Arabidopsis thaliana: one gene and its partners. The protein of the gene in region 4 purifies or fractionates together with the protein of the main gene of each other region. This does not show direct contact. Each region holds a gene or a part of one and is shown on either strand. Other genes may lie near its edges. The genes, in order: CER10, MEF14, ATPQ and CESA6.

Region 1 (4,430 bases), on a different chromosome or scaffold from region 4:
CGCGCAGATGGCACTATCGAAGCTTAAAGACAGGTGGAGGATAATAAACGGGGTAATGTGGATGCCTGATAGAAACCGGTTACCAAGGATAATCTTTGTCTGTTGCTTGCTGCACAACATTATTATCGATATGGAGGATCAAACTTTGGATGACCAACCTTTGTCTCAGCAACATGACATGAACTACAGACAACGAAGCTGCAAGCTTGCCGATGAGGCTTCATCGGTCTTGAGAGATGAACTCTCTGACCAACTGTGTGGAAAAAATTCATCAGCTTGATTACTCTCTCCCGGTTCTTGTGGTCTTTCTATGAAAGCTTCATTTGCTTCTTTTTCCTTCTGGTAATTTTGTTTAGCATAACATTTTATCGTTTGATTTGATCTATTGACATATTCTTTTATGGGACAAACAAAAATGTGTATCTTATGAATGTTATTTTTAATTTATACAACTTGTATGTTTCATCGACGTCTAAACTCATTGCAATTGTCATTATAGAATGCCGCATAGACTGATTTATGTTACTAGTAATCATATTTATTATTGACTCATGTATGCGATACATAAAGAGGAATTGGTTTGCGTGAGAAACAACTACACAAGTACATTTCTAAATCTCTCTAACTTCAAAAATCAAAACATATTGAAACAAAAGGAATAAACATGTTATAACCAATACATAGACCGAACAAAAAAGGAAACGATACAGAGAACCCAAAGAAAGTCTCATTTTCAGCTTTATTAAGAGCTTTTACTGATAAGCAACAATGGCTTCTAAAGGAATGGAGGAAGTATCACCCATCTTCTTGGATACTTTGGCTTTCCATCTTTTCCATCAAATATCTGCAATACCAATATCAAACAATCCACAATAAGAACATTATTTGAGAATTTTCAGTTCCGCTAAAATCATATCGTGAGACCGCTATGTTTACCTTTCTCAGACGGCTGTGCTTTCCAAGAGCCCAATTAGTCATGATTAGAGCAGCAACAGCGAGGAAAACATATCCTGCAATGGTCTGAGTAGCGATGTTGAATCCTAGCCATTGGTAAATCTCGGTAGTGTAATTGGCACATGTAACAATGTTGAAGAGGAAACCGCGTGGAATCTGGTAGCCTCCAGCCCCACTGGGGTCCCTCAGATTCTTCAGCAATATGTGACAGTAAAAGTTTGCGACTTGGCAAACCAAACCAAACCCGAAACCAATCTTCATCTGAAGGTCACTAACTGGAGTGTACAAGGGATGGTTGACGTAATAAGCAATGTAAGCACCAAAGCTCCAGTAATAAGCACAGTTCCTGAACACATTCCCGATTGGGGAGGTTGCGTGGCTGAACCGATGTACGAAAAACGTTTCTAAGATCCGTTTGAAGTAGTGAAAGCACCAGTAGTACATAGCGTACGTCTGGACCGGATGGATCACACAGTCCTCTCCATAACCAAGAAACTTGTAAACAGGGAAGTAGTAAAAGACAGGGTAGATAAGGAGAGGGCCAAGATACTCGAAGAAGAAGAGTGTGCGGTAGGAAACTTGTGCCCCCAGGTCTTTGAAGACTACAGTTAAGGAGTTGTTGTTTCCATCACAGTACTCCTTCAGTGATTTCTTGCTATTGAGGACAACAGGTTTGTCCTTCGATCCAGGAGTCACGGGAAGAGTCAGTCTTTGCCTCGACGGGTAAAACTTCTTAGCTGTTGAAACAACAAAACCCAAATCAAACAGTTTAATACCTACTGAGAGAAAATCAAACTAAGATTTGAATGAACGAGATAAATATAATACATACAGAATATACATTGTACTGTATAGTAAGATGATTTCAGATAATTGCCATTGATGGACAATCTAAAGTGAACCTTTATTAAAGCTAAAAAGGGACTGATCCATAAATGACAAAAGGTTGTGATGATTAATTCAAATCCAAAACTGTGTTTAGAAGCTTAAGTGATCCTTATCAGCAGAAAACATTATCAAATCTAAATACTCCTTAAGCTTCCACACAGATCTTGATTATATAACCCCATAAGCATCAAATGGTATAAGGAGAACTCAAACACATAAACACTAGCTTAAGCTTACACACTCAGGTGAGATCTATACCAACATTCGACAAGTCAAATTTCAAGTAAAAATGAAAACTTTGGAAACTTTACCTCTCTTATGAAACGCTTCTTGCAGATCAGCAACAGTCGCCTGCGAAGCACAAAACACACGAAATCGAAATCAACAACCCAAAAATCATAAAGCATGCAACTTTCCCTACATTGAGGGACCAAACTAAAGAACAAAAACCTTCAATCACATTTTGGAAACAAACCCACGAATCAGAAGAAGAAGCAGATCGGAGAAGAGAGTATCATAAGAAACGAGAAAGTACCGAATCGGGGAGGTCAAGGGGAGCTTTGAGGACTTCTCTGCCGCTGCGGGAGACGACGGTGACCTTCATGGTGCTTAAGCGGAGCAAACGAGGAAGACCCAGATGAGGAAATTGAGAGAGATAGAGAGACAAGGGAAATTAAATAGAGAGGAAGAAGAAGACGAGATTGAGCATTGAAGAGGATGTAGTTGGGAGTAGGAGAACTACTAACTATCTTCCCAACTTATGCGATTAGATTGGGACCATTTTACATTTTTAGTTGCTCCCCATCATTTTTTTTTTGGTTTTTACTCCAAACAAAAACATTTGTTGCAATTGCAAATTATGGCTTTGTTTTAAGGATCCACCATTAGTAATTACTCAGTTTAGGTTTAGATTTTTGTTTTTTCGGTTTATGAATCTACTATACTATAGATTATCTGCTAAGGTTTTAGTTTCGGTTAAGTTTCGAATTTTAGTCAAATATATAATTTGTATTCAAAAACAAAAACTTTTACTATAATTTTTTTTATCAAATCGAGTGATCCGGTCAACTTAGATAGGAACCACCAAAGTGTTACTCGTTTTTTTTTTGGTATTTGGTTTAGTCATGTTTAGTTAAAACGTAAAAGCATTGCAGTATTCGCTATAGAAAAGAGTGAAATAATGTTACCTAGAAGAGATTGATTCATGAGCACAAAAACATTAGTTGCAAACTTCTACCCCCTCACTTGATGACATATGTCCATCGTATTGATCTAATGCTAAAATAAAATGTTGTATCAATGCAGTAAAAAAGTTAGGATTTTACATACCACAAAATGGGATGGAGTAATGAGAACGAATCCTTGTCATTGTCGTATAAAAGATGCAAATAATAAATGATCCCGGCCCTTAACCACATGGAAGTAGTGTGTTAGTTTAGTTATATTGGTCAATGAAATTTGCTTTTCCAACAAAAAAAAATCACCCAAAGTCAATCGCATACGAGAGCTCTATTAATTCAAGAGAGCAGCAAATAAAGCAAAAACTCAAAACCTAAGTTTTCTGAATATGAAAGGGGTTAGATAATCATTCTCTCAACTAGTTAAAAAAAGTAATGATAAAATTAAAAACACAATGGATCAATTAAGAGACAGTAGTTTATGATATATATGGTTGGGATCGATTAGTTGACATCACAAAGATCAAAATAATGACCGGTAATTGCCCAAATACCAAGGCGACAATTCATGCGATATTCAAACACCTTAATGTCATTCAAATACTATAACTAACTATCCTCAATTAACAAAGCTAGCTAGATTTTTCTCAAGTGAGCAACAGTCTAATTCTTCTGAAAAAACTTGTTTTTTCCGAGTGTAAATTATCCAATCTACTTACTACAATTTGAGCATTAATCTAGTTTTCTCTGCAACTTTAAAACCAGGTGTACAAGTGTCAACACCAGATCTAGCGTAAAACACTTAAGCTAGTACTTAAATAGATTATGCCTATTTTTTCGACCATTATATATTAAACTTTCCAGCCTTTCGTGAAAAAATGCGCATGTTCTTGTTGGAATCTAGGAATCTTCTTCTACTAAAGATTGGCATGCACGTGGTAACGATTTCCATTGTATACTATCTCGATATTTTCCCACCTTAAATATCTTGAAAATTAAGATCAAATTATATGAGAACATATATTGTATCATTGTTTGTAATAGCCTTATATAGTGTGTAGATGTGAACTATGGATACAAAAAACAATAGGAAAGAAAAAGCTGCAGAGAAGGTGTTGCTTTACAACTATGAATATGGGCTCATGAGATGTACACTACAGATAAGCGAAGATTCCTGTTGCATGAAAATGTGTTACTAATAAAAAAAACACATGCACATTTCTATAAAGACGAATTTCTTTTAAATAATAAATTTCTATAACAAATAAAGATAAGTGCTCCTTTAAAAACATGCAAAAGAATATATAGATTTACCGTATCAGATTTTCATACAATTTTTATATTTTTTGAGCTTGAAAGATTAACATGACAAACTGTATCGTGTGTCCTCGTCTATTCACCCCTAGAAGA
Region 2 (4,434 bases), on a different chromosome or scaffold from region 4:
GATCATACCCTCGAATCATCGAAGTCCAAGATACAATATTTCTCTTGGGAATTTCGTCGAACACTTTCCGTGCATCCTCCAGTTTCCCACAAGTTGAATACATAACGATCAAAGCCGAAGACACAAAGATGTCGGATTGATAACCGAAGACAAAAGCTTGCTGATGGGTCTGTTTGCCGGAGAAGATATCAAAAAGAGACGAACATGCTTTAATGGCGCAAGGAAAGCTAGAGCGAGTTGGGTATAGAGAAAGCTTCCGCATTGAGGAAAAAGCGAGAAGAGCTTCAGCAGAATCACCGCTACGAGCGAGGTCGGCGATGACAGAGTTCCATGAGAAAACATCTGTTTTGTCGACATATCTGTTGAACAGCGTTGTTAGGTTTTGTCTCTCTGTGTGTCTCTCCGTGTGGAGAAGACGAGAGACGGAACAAAACAGTGCTTTTTTACTCCGAACCTTCATTCATTCATTCTTTTGTCTCAAAGTAATATTTCGACTAATTTGATTATAAGTACTTATAATCAAACATAGGAAAAGAAATTTGCAAACAAAAAAATCTCTAATTTCACACTCAAATAGTATCAGACAAGAACAAATATCAAATCAAAATCAATGAATCCATTTTGTTTATCTTTTTTCCTCATGTCACAAACAAAACATTACAAAGAGGCCGTGGCATTTCATTATCTGCAGAACCTTTGTTCTTGAGCTTCTGCAGATTCATGGTGTAAACATATATGAATCCTCGTTTTTCCAAATAATTTATCGGTAAATAAAGTTACAACAATCTAAGATGAGCAGTATCATTCATTCGTTTGATCTGCCACCCGTTTCTCCATGAATGTTGTAACACAGTCACTGAAGAGTCTTCTACACAGATCTTATGAGTCATTACCGGACTGCAACCGAGGATTCCGGTTAAAAGACACTTTATAGGCAAAGAATGCGTGAAAACCCCGACACAATTCGAGATTAAGGAAGACGAATCACTTAGGTCAGTGTGATTATGATTAACTTCTTCCCTTGGGGAGTTTCCATCGTCAGGTTCGTGATTAGTCATCACTTGAAGCCTGCTTTTACCAGATTTCTTCCTTGTAAGACTGGGACGATGCTTGTGTAGTAAGTCCCAGTTAGTCGAAGCAAGTGACACACCACCATCACGCTCATGAGTTTCATTGTGATTCGTAGTGGAAGAATAATCTGACCTAAGCTTCTCTGCAACTCCTGAGACTGTCCCGTTTAGAAACTGAACCATTCGAAACTCTACTTGCCTCAGTGATTCTCCAGATGGAGCTGTGAAATCAGGTTGGCACCTTTCAATCAAACTCAAAGTTTCAGGACTATAAATCTCTGCTTGATTACAGCCTTCCCAATCCCCTAAACTCATCTCAATAACAGCATCCGAAGATTGTACATGCTCCTCCGGAAAACTCATTTCCTTTAAAAACAAAATGTGTCCAATTCAATAACCACTTTCAATCTCATTTCTTTCACTAAATGATACATTGATGTATGATCCTAAGATATATACTCTTTAGATTGTGCCTAAGCTATAGTTATAGAAGACTAAGAAACTCCTTAATCAACCATGAACAAGATAAGCTCACACAAAGAGCAGTAACAACAGTACTTAGTGGTTTCAATGGATTCATTAGATCAATCAACTCTTACTTAATTCATTCCCAAGATATTACCACAGATCAATCTCACACAAATTAGGCAACATTGTACACTTCGTTAAACCTTAGATCTAAGAGAAGAAACTTTACCTGACAAACAGAAACAGCCATGGATCTAGCTCGATCTAGAGGTGACGAATAAACCGAATTAAACCGAACACCTTGAGATTTGAAGAAAACAGCAAGAGCCCTAGCTTGACGTTTACCATTAGCAGTAAGAGCAGCTACATGACATCTCCCACCAATCAAATCAGGTTTAAGATTAAGATCAGACTCACCATGGCTAATCAGATAAACCTCTGTCACAGCTCGATCTTCATCACCAGACACGATTCGAGAGAAGATAGACGGCGGTTGCGGCGGCGGAGAGAGGACGTTGTAAGGATCCCAGACTTTAATCGATGGTCCAAGCCTTGGAGTACCGAGAGATGATAGTTGTGGTGAGAGTGGTGAAGCTGAAGCGTGACATGGTAACATCTCAGGCTCTTGTTCTAGAACTTTCTTTACTAGGAGATTGTCTAATTGTCTTGTGTTTGATCTGCCATTATCTTCTTCTTCTTCTTCTTCATTGTCAGTTTCCTCTTCTTCTTCTTCTTCGTCTTCCATTTGCGTAGATTGTGAAGAACCCATCTTCTTTGTGAAAAGTGTGCTACGAGAAATGGACGAAGAAGAAGCAAAGAGCTTTTTGTTTCGATCACATCACATGGCTCGATGGCTCCACCATTCTACTTCTACAGATCTAGAGACGAGAGCAAAAACTTTGACCTCTGTGTGAGCTAGAAGGTTTAAATATTGGGCCCGGCCCGTTATAGGATAAAACGTCTGGCCTTGTATACGCTGGAATTTTATTCACCAACGCCGCTATATCCACCAATGTAGCTAAACAAAAATACAAAAATAATTGCATAAACTTATTAAATTAAATTGTAAAATAAAAACTATTAATAAAAATAGATACATATATATATATATATATTATCAAAATTATTTAGAAAAATAGATTTGGATTAAATAACTTTAGATATCTTCCATTAATTTTCATACTGGATCAGATTGCACCTAGAGGACGGTTCATATTTCCTGAAAGCTTGTGCAATTGTGAAACACTAGATACCTTGGAAGTCAAGTTTTTGGTTCGTATGGTTGTCCCTTCTTCAGTTTGTCTGAAATCTCTTAGAACTCTGCACCTTCACTATGTGAACTTCATAAACAATACATCAGTTCTTAACCTTTTATCTGGTTGTCCTAATCTTGAAAACTTGGATGTGCATGGAACTCTATACTCCAATGTGAAGCCTTTAACTATTGCAGTTCCTTCCTTACAAAGACTATCGATTTGTAATAGAAATGATAAAGAACATGTGGGCTTTGTGATAAATGCTCCTTCTTTAAAATACTTGAAGTATATGGATTGGTGGTCGTGGATCTTGTCTTATTGAGAATGCACCTATGCTGTTGGAGGCAAATATTGTCAACAATAATAAAAGTTTCATCTTGAGATCACTGACTTCAGTCAAACGTCTCTCCTTGGAGATATCAGCCTTGAAGGTAAGGTTTTCTTGTAATTAGTTAGTTTCCTTATTATTGCATTGTTACTCTACTAATAATATTGCCTTCATGTATAGATTCCATTTCCTATATTTTATCAGTTGGTATATTTGGAGCTGTGTATATATAGAGCTGATTGTTGGAATCTACTAATGCTCATGCTCGATCATTCTCCTAATTTACAAGTCCTCAAGCTCATCGGTGTAAGCATTGAAAATTCATCTTTTAGCAAATTTCCACCTCAACTTAGGGTTTGATGATCTAATATACATGTAATTTACTTTGTGTTAACTCGCCATTGATCTCATAACCACAGCCATGGCAGAAAAGTTTAGATGGCGTACCCTTGTGGAAATGGATTCAGCCAAAGAATATTCCTAAATGTATGTTACTCCATCTGGAGACATTTGTATGGGAAGACTACGAATGGCGAGAAGATGAAAAAGAGGTGACGAAATATATCCTTAGTAACGCAAGTCGTTTGGATAAAGCAACTTTCCTCACAAAACGCCTTACCTCGAAAGAGAGAGTTGAGATGGTCGAGGAGTTGGAAACTGTGATCAAAGCTTCAAGTTCATGCCAGCTTGTATTCAAATGAAAGTCATATGTTATCAAAGTTAACTCTTACTATAGAAACTTTTATATTTAGTTGGTTGCTTTGAAAATTTATTAAATGTTTTAAGATCCAACTTTGATATAAAATCTTGAATACAGTACAAAGTTATTTATAGACGATACAAAATGATTGATCATGAATCCGAAGGAAAAGGAAAACCAGCTATTTTGAAAGCAGTCATGCCACCATCCACGACCAAGTTATGGCCAGTAACGTATTTACCGTCGTTGGAAGCCAAATACAAAGCAGCCTTAGCCACGTCAGCTTCTTCACACTCAGCTCCTTTTAACTCACCCATTCCTTTCACTGTTTCGCGTAGCTTCTCCTCCGATACCTTCGGAAACACTTTCTGAAGGTAACTGAGAGTGAGCGGTGTAGCCACCGTACCCGGTGAGATACAGTTTATACGCACGCCGTGTTCGCAGAGCTCGCTTGCTGCCGACTTGACTATTCCGGGAGTTGTGAACTTTGAGATTGTGTATGAATGTGGAGCCAACCCTCCAGTCACGCCTACATTGTTTTGTCCATACCAAAAGTCAAATTTGAGTGTTGACCACAAATTGAAAACTATTAAGCTTCATTTAAGTTTTTGT
Region 3 (4,318 bases), on a different chromosome or scaffold from region 4:
GACTTTCGGTACAAAGAAGAGGGTAGGAGGAGAGCACGTGGATCTTGATTCTTTTAGACCAATAAAGATTTGTCTTTCTACTTGTTATTAAGCATTCTGCTCTAAGCACATAGCTAACCAGTATTTGTTTCGTGTAATTAGACAAGCAGTAACATGCACTGGACCTTACAGAGAGACTTAACGGCAAAAATCAAAAATAGCAATCGATTATATTAACCCTCTATGAACGGTCAGAATCAAAGACCTCACCCACCTTTGATAACCATTAACCGCATACCATTTCGTGAACTATCTATGGTTGCGCAAGGCTCCATCAAGTAATAAGCTCACCACTTGAGTGTAATTGCAGAAATTAGCATTGTGTCTTGAAGAACGAAATCTGGGATATGTGTTTCTGGGTCGACAAAAATTCTAAAACCCGGTTCGAGGTAAACCGAAGGCTTAACAACAAACCGACAGACTTATCAACCAAATTTGCTTACCAGAGTTGGTTTGGGTTCGTCTTTATTTACCATTGCACCGAATTGCTAACTCAAAAAAATCAACTAAAAACATGACATTAATACTATCCTGTTAGCTAAGAGAGGAAATGTAACAATGACGAGTCAAGAGTCTTCTTCATTCCTTGACAATGATAATTTTTTTGACTCTTATTATTCACTGAAGAACGAAACGAAACAATTTGTGAAATTGATAACTAAAACCAAATGCGTTTATCTTCCTTGGAATGAAGATCTCAACACTGCTTAAGTGAATGGTGTACTTATTATTGTTATGATTGGCTCACAAAATCACAGTAAGAGAACAGAGAAAGAGAAAGAGAGTTTTCTTTCCAAGCCGGAGATGGAGAAACATGATCAGTATCCCCAGTTGTCATTACGGATTTCGTCATCAAACTTCTTTTTGAGTTCCGGGTGCTTCTCAAAGTACTCATCTGCAGTCATGGTGCTGAGCTTTTTCTGATTACACCAACACATAGAAACAACCATGATCATTTTATCAGAATCTTGAGTTGAAAAAAAATACACACAAACTTCATAGAAGAGGATTTGTTTTTTCTGGCTACTTACGCTGATCTCTTGGACATCAGCAATTTCTTTCTCCAACCGTTCAGACTCCTTGAGCGATTTCTGTTCTGCTTCTTTCAGTTCCACCAACTAGATATAGCATGAAACATGGCACAAGAGAACAAAAACGATGTCAATTGAAAAGACCTGTCAAAATTGTAAAAAAGTCTCGAGTGTCTCAGCTATTACTCACCAAAGCATCAAACTTTGGCTTGTATTCAGGAGTAACTTTGTCAACGTACTTTGGAATCTCAATGCCTGCAGCAAGCCATAAAAGATGCAGTTTAGTTTCTCATAATCTTCTTTGATATATCTCCACAATTCCAACAATCAAATAGATATATAACAAGTATAAGAACTTCAGTTTCAGCCCCCATTCTTAAGCACATCTCTCTCAAAACAATATAGTCAGGTTTGAGAGCCGAAGTAAGGCAAGCAAAAGACATCCGCTTGATAACCACTGACAAACTCATTGTGATAATGAGTTGCAAGGCTACACAAACGCTCCCAAGTATCAGTATAAATTGCAGAGAAAATAAAACTTACTGTCATAAGCTTCCTTGTACTTGTCAACAATGCCAGCTCCAATACCCTTCCTATAGTAATCCCAATCTATAGGTTCAGGTTCCTGGATTAAAAGGATAACCAAAAACAACAATCACTCCACAACCCAATACATAAAACAAGTTAGGAAATAAAAGATCTCTTAGGAATTGGAAATGTAGTGGGCTAATCATAGTATACATCAATGTTTTTCTCGATACAATTCCACATTTCTAATGATCAATAAACAAAGACCAACCACAATGTTCTCTGATTAACACGTCTTAAGGAAATAGATCTTAACACATATCTGGATCAATCAACAATGGGAACAACAACATCAACAAAATAGAAAAAAATGAGTGTCACCAACAAAAATCTGATAATCGTAAAAATTCGTGAAAGAAGCACCTGATCCAGAAATCGAAATTATAAAGATCTAAAAAGTCTAAACCAAGCAGTAGTGACAAAATCAGATCAAGAGAGGGGGGAAATCGAGAGGAGAACCTGACTAAATTTGGTCTGGAGCTGTGTGTTAACCTCATCGAAAGCACGACGAAGGTTAGAGAACTCTCTACGAGCCTCATCTGTGACAAGGACCTTAGCCATACCATCCCAATCGATAGTCCTTGAAGCTTTGAAAGCCACATCCGCGATTTTCTTACCGGCTCCGCTCATTTTCTCGCTCTTTGCTCACAAAGTTTTCCCCAAAATACACACACTGACGAATATCGAAGAGGAAGAAGAAGAAGATGTAAAACGTCGTCTGATCTGACCAATGAAGGAAAGCCCTAGAATCCCTAAAAGGCTTACAGGCCCTTTTACTTCTCTTTATTTCTAATTTAACCCCTTTATTATTTAATTGACCTAAAAAACACCCCCATTAAGTTTCAATACTGGTTCTATGTTTTAGATTACTTTGGCGTTAGCAAATATGTTAAAGAAGGAACTCAGATAGCATGTGGAAAATTATATATGTCTCTTCATCAATACAAATATGTTCAACCAATTAAAAAAGTCAAACAAATAATTAAGTTTGTTGTAGTAAAAAAAAATACCAAAAAAACAAACAAAGACATAACAGAATCTTCTCTGAATTCACCTCTGCACCAGACTTTTGCCTAATCAACAATGTCAGATATAAACTATATATATATATCCATTCTCTGTTTAAGCAAGATTAGTATCTTTCTTAGTAACATTGCTTTCCAGCTTTGGTGGACCTGAAAACCGTCTTACAGTCTTAGGAGATCCCGAGAAGGAAAGCCGTTTTTTCGCTGTCTTCTCTGAGCTTAGAGGACTAAGGTTTGAGAATCGAGCTCTTGCTTTGGCGGCTTGTGTAGGTGCCATGTAGCCTGGAACTGACTGAGAGAAACTACTGGTGAAGCTTTCATCGTCTCTAGTTGATGGAATTGATCCACAAGTGCTATGCCTACGATTGCAAGGTTGTTCTGATTGGAAACTCACAATGCTGTTTGAGTCTTCACTTGGGACTTGCCTCACTCTCGGGCTTGACCCTCTTCGACTGTTTGGTGTCTTTCCTCTTGGTGAAAGGTTTTTGCCTCGTGGAATCATCTCAGACATGGCACGGCTTGCTACACTCCTAGCAGAAGAGTCTTTTTCAGCATTATCTGGTGTGAGTGAGTGGTTTTCGTTTGGTCGAGCAGCCATCCAACGTTCTAGCCAACTCCAACCCCAATGCGGATTGTTAGGGTCCATGAATGTTTGAGAACCCATTTTAGTTGAGTTTTTCCATGTATTCTGCATATTAACAAGTTTCACCATTTTGAGATATATAATTCTTCTGGTGTAAAGACACACTAAAGTAAGATAGGAAACTAGTTTAATACCTGGTGACTGAATGCATATGCAAGCGCTTTTTCTCTTCTCATTGTTGCTACTTGCTTGTTCAACATGTTTGCTTCAACTTTCTCCCGCGACAATGTACTATCATTCCAATTTTCTCCAGTCTATTTCACAAAACGTAATACAATCTTTAAGTTTGTAGCAAGAAACATAATCTATTTCACATTGTGAATTTCTCATGTATCCGAGATCAACAAAAAGCCAAGTTTGTAACTAAAATTATAAACATCTTTGTAAGGATTTGATTTGCTTACCTTATCAAAGTCTTTATTGTGTTTTTGTTGGAGCTGTCGTGTTAAAGCCTGTTTATCCTCAGACAATCGGAGCCTTCTCTCACGAATCTGATATTGTACTCTAGCTAGTGTTTGCATGCTTTGCAATGTAGATGTGGCTTGACGTCTCACACATTTCCCCTGGACTAAAGATTTTAGCCTCACAAGACCTCTCAACGCACGCAATGCTCTTCTTGCCTAATAAAGGGTAACCAAAAAGTATGAACTTTGTTCCATTAGTTAGCAAAACCACCTTTATAGTTACTAGACTTGAAAATGTTAAAAAACAAAAACGTTACCATATATCCTCTAAATGCTGTCTGAATCTTGATAGCGGCGATCTCTTCCATTGATTTCCCGGGGAACCGTGATAATGCAGAGAGACGAACAACTTCAGCAGCAGCTTGAGCAGCTGCAACGGCTGCCTCTGCAGCTGCAGCAGTTGCAATAGCCACAGAGTAAGCATGTCTGCTCTGTTGCTCCTCAATCTCCTTTAGTTTCGCGTCTTTGACAGTACGAGGAGAATATGCTGCACCAGAATTAGTAACATCTAGCTTCTTGGATTTACCA
Region 4 (7,940 bases):
ACATTTTAATAAAACTAGAACGATACAAAAATATTAAATTACTTTGCGTAGTGACACTTACAAATGAGAAACAAAAAAGTTTTCAAAATTCTCTAACCAAAAAGACTAACCAATCTGAGTGCTGCCCTCTGCAGATATGATGAAAGCACCATGTCACTTGTCAAAACAGAACCAATAAAAGTGTAAAAGGCTGTGTAGATTCGGGCCTGTATTGGGCCTGTATAATTTGTTTTGGGCCACTCTGATCAAGTTCGTAATTTTCTAAGGTTTGGTAACATTTTTAATGGATGCTTTAAAACGTCTCCAAGCATGCGGATTGAAAATCAAAACCAATCAAACCTCGAGTAAATTAATTTTTCAAACAAGAAATAAGATAGGGAAATTAGTGAAAATAAATCAAAGTTCTTTAATCATAAAAGATTACAGATTGAAAATGCTCTTCTGTAATATTCAAAAGAGATCAGAAATATTCAATTAAAGAATAATTTGACAAATCTTTTTTCTCTCACCACCAAAGAACAAAACAAATAGACAACAACTTTCTTCTTCATCTCTATATCTACAACACATTCTTGCAAAAATAACAATTCTCGTAACAAAATTAAATCTTCTTTTTCTTTTCATTTTTCATCATCTAATGAACACAATGAAGGAGTCTTTTAGAGGTAAAACAATATCTCTCTTACCTCTCTTTGATCCGTGGGAATTAAACCTTTTTCACCAACCCATCCACCGGTCAATCGAATCACAAGCAGTCTAAACCACAGATCTCGAGAATAGGACCGCCTTTCGCCACAAACGGATTAACCCGGACCCAAAGAAGTGTAAGAATCGAGGCCAGGAGGATGGACCAGACGACAATAATGGTTGGCATTCTATCTTGTTTCCCAAGCAAACCTTTAAGGAACGGGTAAAGATGAATGATGACCCAAAGTGCAAAGAACAGTCTTCCGAAAAGCGGTCCCCACGAGTCGTATCCATTGCTGATGGCATCAGAGACTCCGACTATGACTCCAATGACGTTTATGATGAGTAGAGTCATTGGAGGGATGAGAAGTGAAGTCCATTTGAAGAGGTAAAGGTCAGAGAACTCTCCATCATCAGCTGCTTTTGATGTGACTGTGAAGTTAGTGTCGACACCAGCAAGAACCTTGAGGAGACCTTGGAAGAGAGCAAACAGATGCGCAGAAACACCTCCAATGACCCAAAACTGTTCGTTTCTCCACCAATCATCGATCCCAACTTTGCCCCATTGCATCTCGAGAATACCCGTTATTGCAATCGACGAGAAGAGCGCCATGAAGAGGATACTCGCATAGTTGCTAATCTGGAAAAAGAAGGAACAAGAATCGTTTTCCGGTCTTAAAACACACAACTTGGAATAAAGATTCATATGATACTTTTAACCCCCAGTGGCAAGGAAAATGAATAAGCACAAAACGTGAAATAAAGATTCATATTTTGAGAACTCAAGATGATTGTTTTACCTCGGGAACGATGAATTTTCCAGTGAGAAGACAGATGGCAGGGAGAGAACAGTAAACGATGAGCGGTAGAGAGGTCCACGGGTAAACCACAGAGTTAATGTAGGACAACCGCTCAAGCCATTTCAACCCACCTCCATAACCATACCAAATAGGACAATGCCTACTCAAGAAAATCTCAACCGACCCAAGCGCCCATCGAAGAACTTGATGGAGACGATCCGAAAGATTGATTGGAGCTGATCCTTTGAAAGCCGCTAACTTTGGTGTACAATAAACAGATCTCCAACCATGAGAATGCATCTTAAAACCCGTAAGAATATCTTCGGTAACAGAACCATAGATCCACCCAATCTGAGATTTTTTTCACAAGGTCATCATCAAAATCAAGAATTGATTGAATAAACACAACAAAGGTTTAAAACCGGCTGCTTACCTCTTTTCCCCATTCAGTTTTATCTTCATATCCGCAACTAATGACTTGGATGGCTTCTTTAAGCAGACAAGCCGGGCTTGCGTTTCTAGCCATCCCACCATTCTCCATACGCGCAGATGCAACAAATACAGGAGACTGCCCAAATTTCTTCTCCAACTTCATTTGCATTGCCTCGGTTGACTGTTCTACGTTAGAACCTAGAATGTTTTTTAAATTTTATTTTTTTAGTAAAATGCACCGACTAACGAAAGAGTTTAACAACAAACAGGATTTGTATGATACCTTTAGTGACGCGGCCCTCTTCGATATTTTCTAATGCGTGGATCTGCTTTGACGCTTCCCTATTCTTCTTCTTCTTATCCGCAGCCACTGTCTTTGCTTTACGATTCTTTCTTGAACCAAAACATAGGAGACACCATTTTGGCCAGCAATTGCATGTCTTACGTGGGCCCTTCTTCTTCTTCGGTGCATCAAATCCGTAAAGCGCTTGCCTCCTGAAAACACAACCTGTACCGACGTATATAGGCCCTTGTAGCCCATCCAAACCTTTCATATTGATCTGTAAATAAAGATTCATTAGTTGGTATTCTACAGAAATCTCAAGAAAAAGGGATACAATAGGAAAGTGGTGGCTGTACTTACATCAAAGAACACAACATTGCGATTTGAGTATCGATCGTGCCTATCAATCCCATCGAACCTTTGAGGGAACTGAACATAACAGATTTTCTTTCCTGACTGAGGATCCATCATGAAACACATTGCTTCTCTAAGAGCTTTGCTATTGTTGATGTAGTGATCACAATCGACATTCAGAAGGTAAGGAGCATTTGATAGAACCCCAGAGACTCGTATCTTCAACAAAAGTTTTGTAGATGAAATCAAGAGTCAGGAACCATTTCAATAAATGGCAAGACGTAATTTACAAAGAAGAAGGTTTAGAGCTTTAAAAAGTATATCATTTACCAGGGAATTCATAGCTCCAGCCTTCTTATGGTGATCAAATCCGGGTCTCTTCTCACGAGAAACGTAAACTAATCGAGGCAACTCGTTGTTTTCGACATCACGAACACCGTCACTTCCAAGGAAGACCTTTAACAAGAAAACAAAGTATAATTAAATTTTGAAGGACAACACATAAGAAGGCTTTTCAGAAATAAGAAGCATTTGAAACTCACCTGAATCATGCCAGGATGATCTCGCACACTATTACCGGGCCAAGGTGTACCGTCTTGCATAGTCCAACCATCCTCAGGCACTTTCTGTGCTGTTGCTACTAAAGCATTGATCTTTACTTTGAATTCTTCATAATCTCTCTGTCAAAACCAGTAAAACACACAATCTTTCAAATCAATTTTCAAAGCCACCATCTTCTTTCATAAGAGCCCATATAACAAAAGATTGATAACTTTTCTCATGAATTTTTTTTTTCTAAAGCAAGAATCAATTAGACCAAAACTTTTCTCATCAAATCAAATTTATAAAAAAGTAAGAACTAGTAACCTTCATGGCTCGCCGCTCCCTAACAAATGCGGGATGAACTTTATTCTTCAAGTAGTCCATTTTATGGCAGAAATACCATTCGGGAGCACGAGGCTCAATACAATATTTCTTGCAGAAAGGAACCCATTTCCTTGCGAATTCAGCGGTCTCAGAAAGAGCTTCGAAAGTAAGCATAGCAGCACCATCATCAGATACGTAACAAGCAACCTTATCGACAGGATAATCAACAGCAAGAATAGACAAGACAGTATTTGCAGTAATAAGCGGAGGCTCTTTCAATGGATCCACTGTACTAACAAATACATCCACAGGGGATAGTCCCGACGGTTTCCCTTCTTTCTCATATCTGCAAACAAAAAAAATAAGGATTATATCCCCAAAACAAAGTTTTAACATTTCCAAGTGTAATAACCCACAAGATGTAAGTACCTTAATGAGAGTCGGTCCAAGTACGTTTCTCGCTCGATAGGGTACCATTTAGGGAACTGATCAAGAACCCATGAAACAGCAAACCATATCTCACATATAACAGAAATAAGCCACAAAGCATATGCATCTTTGACGGGGTGAAGAATACGGTAGTGAAAGAAGAGACCAAGAATCACAAGACGTAGCACAATTAACATCCGGTAAGGATTTATCTTGCTCGATTTGATTGGTATCTTCCTAGACAATGGCTGCCTTCCCTCATCCATCCTAAAATGGAAAAAAAAGGCTTGATAAATATCACTGCAACGGAACAAGACATCAACAAAAAAAATTATATTCTTTGCCTTACATTGGAAAATCAGCATCATCACCATCTTCAAAATCAGGATCTCCTTCATGCCTAACAACCTGAAGTTTCTCATTCTGCTTTCTCTTCCATTCCTCCATCCGATCTTTCCAAGCGACACTTCCATAACCATAAACCGCAAGATCTTTCTGAGGTACCATAGGCCTTGGATGTGCAGCCACGGTCGGGTCAGAAAGAGAAACAGGATGAACTCTATTGCCATGACCACCAAGTGAAGGAGGAACAATAAGAGCATGTCTATCAGAAGAAATCTCAACGTCCTGTAATAAAACAAAAGAGAAATCTGAGTGAGCCAATTACTGAAGATGGGTTATACAATGTGGATACATTCTGAGATTTTTACCTCGTCGCCGTAAGTCAGCAATGGAATCTGAGAGCCAGGTGGAGCTGAATCCAAATCAGATTGTGGGAAACCGGAGTTGCGACGAGAGATTGACATACCTTCAGAAACCTGATCAAATCCAATCCCATTATTTCCATACTCAAACTCATTGTCTAAATCATCAATGTCATCTTCCTCTTCATCACCTTCAACTCTTGGACTTCCTAACAAACAACAACATAGGCCGAACAAATCAGAAAATCTTCTACATTCACAAAAAACCAAAGAAATTTGGTCTAACAAACAACGAACCTTTAAGACGTTTGAAACGGGTTTTGCACTGTGGACAAGCTTGATTGCCTTCTCGTCTTTCGTACTCATAGCAAGGTCTACACACAGGGAATGCACATTCGTTACATGCCACAAACGGTTCTCCATCAACAGTCAATTCGATCTCATCTCTGCAGATTTGACATGTCTGTCCACTCAGCTCTTGGACTGATCTTATCTGCACAAAACAGTAGAGTTAAATACATCAGATCATAGTAGTGACACTATCAGACTGGATCTCACACCAGATCAAAGTAACCCAATAACATAATTATTACTCTTCACATTGATAGATTCATAATTGCAATTGAAGAAATCTCTTAAATTGGAGAATTAAGACAAGTCAAATCCGGAAAAATCCATCCCACCGACACAATCAATTCTTGATAAAATTAGCTACAAGGGTACGTAATCTTAATACTAGTACTAAAAACCCTAAATCTTAATTGATTTGCAGTGGTAAGAGCCAGATCCACAAGAAAAGTAAAAAAAGTCAGAGACTTTTGAACAGAGATAGAGAAACACAGATCAAAAGACAGAGAATTGGAAACAAAAGAAGAGGAGAAACATACTCGGGCATTCTCATCGGCATTAATGAGGACAAACTCATTCCTGTTGTGAGAACCGGCGATTAACCGACCACCGGTGTTCATATTTGTCTGAAAACAGACACAGCTAACAATCTTGGATTTCACAGATCGATTGAGAAAGAGAGGAATGTGTTGTAATTAACTCAACTCGATTGTCAGAGATCCAGAGACCATAAATCAGAGGATAGATAGCTCTCTTTCTCTCTCTCACACACACACAAAGCGGCAAACCGGAGTCTAAAAAAACAGACTTTGATGGGAAAAATATAATAAAAATACAAAAGGGGGAATAGTGAAGGTGTATTGTATATATGGAGATGGTATTGATTCAGCTGCAAGCCACAACCTTTTCTTTTCTTTTGGTTTTGGGCCTCTCTCTCCTCTCTGAAAGTGCACACAGTCACAGAAATAAAGGATGATTCCAGAGCGAGAGAGAGAGAGAGAGTCAATGGTGGAGAGAGAGAGAGAGACAGACGCAAGCCTGCGAAATGATGATAAAAGGGGGTTAAGTACAAACGCGTAAGGAAGAAGAGAATCAGTGATTAGTTAAATGGTGTGAGATAATTAAAGGCAATTATGTAGATGAGGAAAAAGAGCACCAAAATTAGATAAAATTAGTAATTAAATTTTGAGAAGTAAAAGAATGTGGGACCCATTAAACCTTGTGTGTATCTCTCTCTTCCACTCCACTTGTTGTTGTAAAGAAGAGATTAGTAAAAACTTCCAAACACACATTATTATTAGCCATTAATTATTAACAATACTGTATTATGTGATGCATTGAATCACCCTAACATTTTATTTTGTCTCTAAACTTTAGGTCTTTTGTTTTGTTACAAAAAAAAGTCACCTTTTTTTTTTGGGTGATTTTCTTCACCCTAAAATGTGTTTAATTTGGTTTCGGTTAAATTTTCCTACCATACATGTTTTAAATATATAGTAAAATCAAATCTACTTTGGATGGAGCCTTTTAGATTTAGTTTAGATCATATTTGGTTTATTAAATATATATATTTTAAAGTTAAAAAATGAAAATAATATAAATGAAGTGAAACTCGGTTTGAATTAATAACTACATTTTGAGCCAATTCAGAGTGGTTAGTCAATTTTCTCTATTAATCAATTGATAGCCGAGATTGTATATAATCATTATAATTTTATTTTCGTTTTAATTATTTGTCTGCGTACACTCTCACGTTCTTGCAACATGTGCAAGAAAATAATAGTTGTAATGAAATAGTATTATCTTAATTTAAGATTAAAAAAAAAGTTACACAATCAAGTTCTTAATTCCTCTAATTATTTTGTTAGAGAGACTTCAAAATGTCGAGAAACAGATATGGGCATTTACTTCCCAGACAAAAAACAATCTGTAAGCATCGTGTCCAAGATCCTATTTTCTAGTTTTTTTTTTTGTTCCTTCTAATTTTTTATATACTTTTTTTTTGTTCCTTCTAATTACGTTTAATTTTTTACTTATTAAATTTATTGCTTAAGTTAATTATGTTCTACGCATGGACTGTATCATGGTTTTTGACTGTTGACTGCATTGGTTTTCACTTTTGCTTCCCTCCTTCCTCTCTTATGTTTTTACTTTTCTAGTTTTTTTTGTTCCTTCTAATTACGTTTAATTTTTTACTTATTTAATTTATAGTTTACTTATTTAATTACATTTTTATTAGTTTAATATCTCCATCCTCTGATAATTTTCTTTTTAGTTTTTATAGTTAAATTATTTTTCAACTTTGATCACTCTCTTTTGTTCAATCAGTTCTGTTTATTTTACTATATTTTTTTGTATGTTATGTCTACCATATTTTTAAATAACATGCTTTTTTTTTTTTTAATCTTGGCTCCACTCGCCAAGTCGCCATATAGCTAATTTTTCCTCCGTGCTTAAATAAGAGAAAAATGTTCAAATTATTGAGACTATGGTATCACATCACACAAATATATGCGATTTGCCCATGTATGATGTCTATACTATATGTATACATTTGCCGACAAATAGTTCGTGGTATATATAAAACAATATTTTAACAGTATTTTGCTTGTTGATTTTTTTTAATCTTTTGACTTGTTGATAGATATAGTCCGGAAATTAAAGAAATATTAAGAAACTTTCATAAAAAAAGATCGAACTTTAGTAGGTTACCACATCAAATGTCGTTTTCATGATTGATTGAATGCTGTGTACTGTCTTCTCCAAGCCCTCGTGCCACATGTTCTTATAGAAACTGTCGGTGCCCTTATATTATTCTTTTTCCTAGTAAATATTGTTTTAATTTTCAAGACTATAGAATAGAAAAACGTTTAAATTTTCGCTTATGTATAGTTTACATTACTTTGGTTCTTTGGAAATACCCAATTTACAACTATATATATACCACTAACTAAGTACATAAAAAAAAATAAAAAATATATTGCTTCTGTTTTTACTAGCAGATCGAGCTGGAGCGCTTGGTCAACGTGATTAGAG

The links.
Region 1: the proteins of CESA6 (region 4) and CER10 purify together in Arabidopsis thaliana (affinity purification with mass spectrometry, with the first as the bait; one large-scale study listed by BioGRID). This does not show direct contact.
Region 2: the proteins of CESA6 (region 4) and MEF14 purify together in Arabidopsis thaliana (affinity purification with mass spectrometry, with the first as the bait; one large-scale study listed by BioGRID). This does not show direct contact.
Region 3: the proteins of CESA6 (region 4) and ATPQ purify together in Arabidopsis thaliana (affinity purification with mass spectrometry, with the first as the bait; one large-scale study listed by BioGRID). This does not show direct contact.

Annotation. Positions count from the first base shown.
Region 1 is NC_003074.8:20,520,411-20,524,840, forward strand, and holds CER10 (3-oxo-5-alpha-steroid 4-dehydrogenase family protein), read right to left. Parts: upstream 2,689-4,430; 5' UTR 2,447-2,688; coding exon 2,378-2,446; intron 2,194-2,377; coding exon 2,154-2,193; intron 1,692-2,153; coding exon 937-1,691; intron 845-936; coding exon 776-844; 3' UTR 520-775; downstream 1-519. Other genes in the region: AT3G55350 (PIF / Ping-Pong family of plant transposase), read left to right, coding at 1-280.
Region 2 is NC_003074.8:9,846,620-9,851,053, reverse strand, and holds MEF14 (Phosphoglycerate mutase family protein), read right to left. Parts: upstream 2,427-4,434; 5' UTR 2,308-2,426; coding exon 1,768-2,307; intron 1,437-1,767; coding exon 777-1,436; 3' UTR 511-776; downstream 1-510. Other genes in the region: AT3G26782 (Tetratricopeptide repeat (TPR)-like superfamily protein), read right to left, coding at 1-460; AT3G26770 (NAD(P)-binding Rossmann-fold superfamily protein), read right to left, coding at 3,975-4,351.
Region 3 is NC_003074.8:19,394,659-19,398,976, reverse strand, and holds ATPQ (ATP synthase D chain), read right to left. Parts: upstream 2,554-4,318; 5' UTR 2,289-2,553; coding exon 2,118-2,288; intron 1,696-2,117; coding exon 1,614-1,695; intron 1,326-1,613; coding exon 1,261-1,325; coding exon of another isoform or gene 1,257-1,260; intron 1,158-1,256; coding exon 1,071-1,157; intron 960-1,070; coding exon 858-959; 3' UTR 533-857; downstream 1-532. Other genes in the region: IQD3 (IQ-domain 3), read right to left, coding at 2,781-3,371, 3,461-3,580, 3,731-3,946, 4,048-4,318. UniProt on the Arabidopsis thaliana protein: Mitochondrial membrane ATP synthase (F(1)F(0) ATP synthase or Complex V) produces ATP from ADP in the presence of a proton gradient across the membrane which is generated by electron transport complexes of the respiratory chain.
Region 4 is NC_003076.8:25,879,139-25,887,078, reverse strand, and holds CESA6 (cellulose synthase 6), read right to left. Parts: upstream 6,047-7,940; 5' UTR 5,525-6,046; coding exon 5,444-5,524; intron 5,050-5,443; coding exon 4,854-5,049; intron 4,766-4,853; coding exon 4,563-4,765; intron 4,480-4,562; coding exon 4,202-4,479; intron 4,120-4,201; coding exon 3,853-4,119; intron 3,770-3,852; coding exon 3,424-3,769; intron 3,237-3,423; coding exon 3,099-3,236; intron 3,013-3,098; coding exon 2,887-3,012; intron 2,776-2,886; coding exon 2,563-2,775; intron 2,480-2,562; coding exon 2,203-2,479; intron 2,118-2,202; coding exon 1,921-2,117; intron 1,839-1,920; coding exon 1,488-1,838; intron 1,328-1,487; coding exon 746-1,327; 3' UTR 351-745; downstream 1-350. UniProt on the Arabidopsis thaliana protein: Catalytic subunit of cellulose synthase terminal complexes ('rosettes'), required for beta-1,4-glucan microfibril crystallization, a major mechanism of the cell wall formation. Involved in the primary cell wall formation.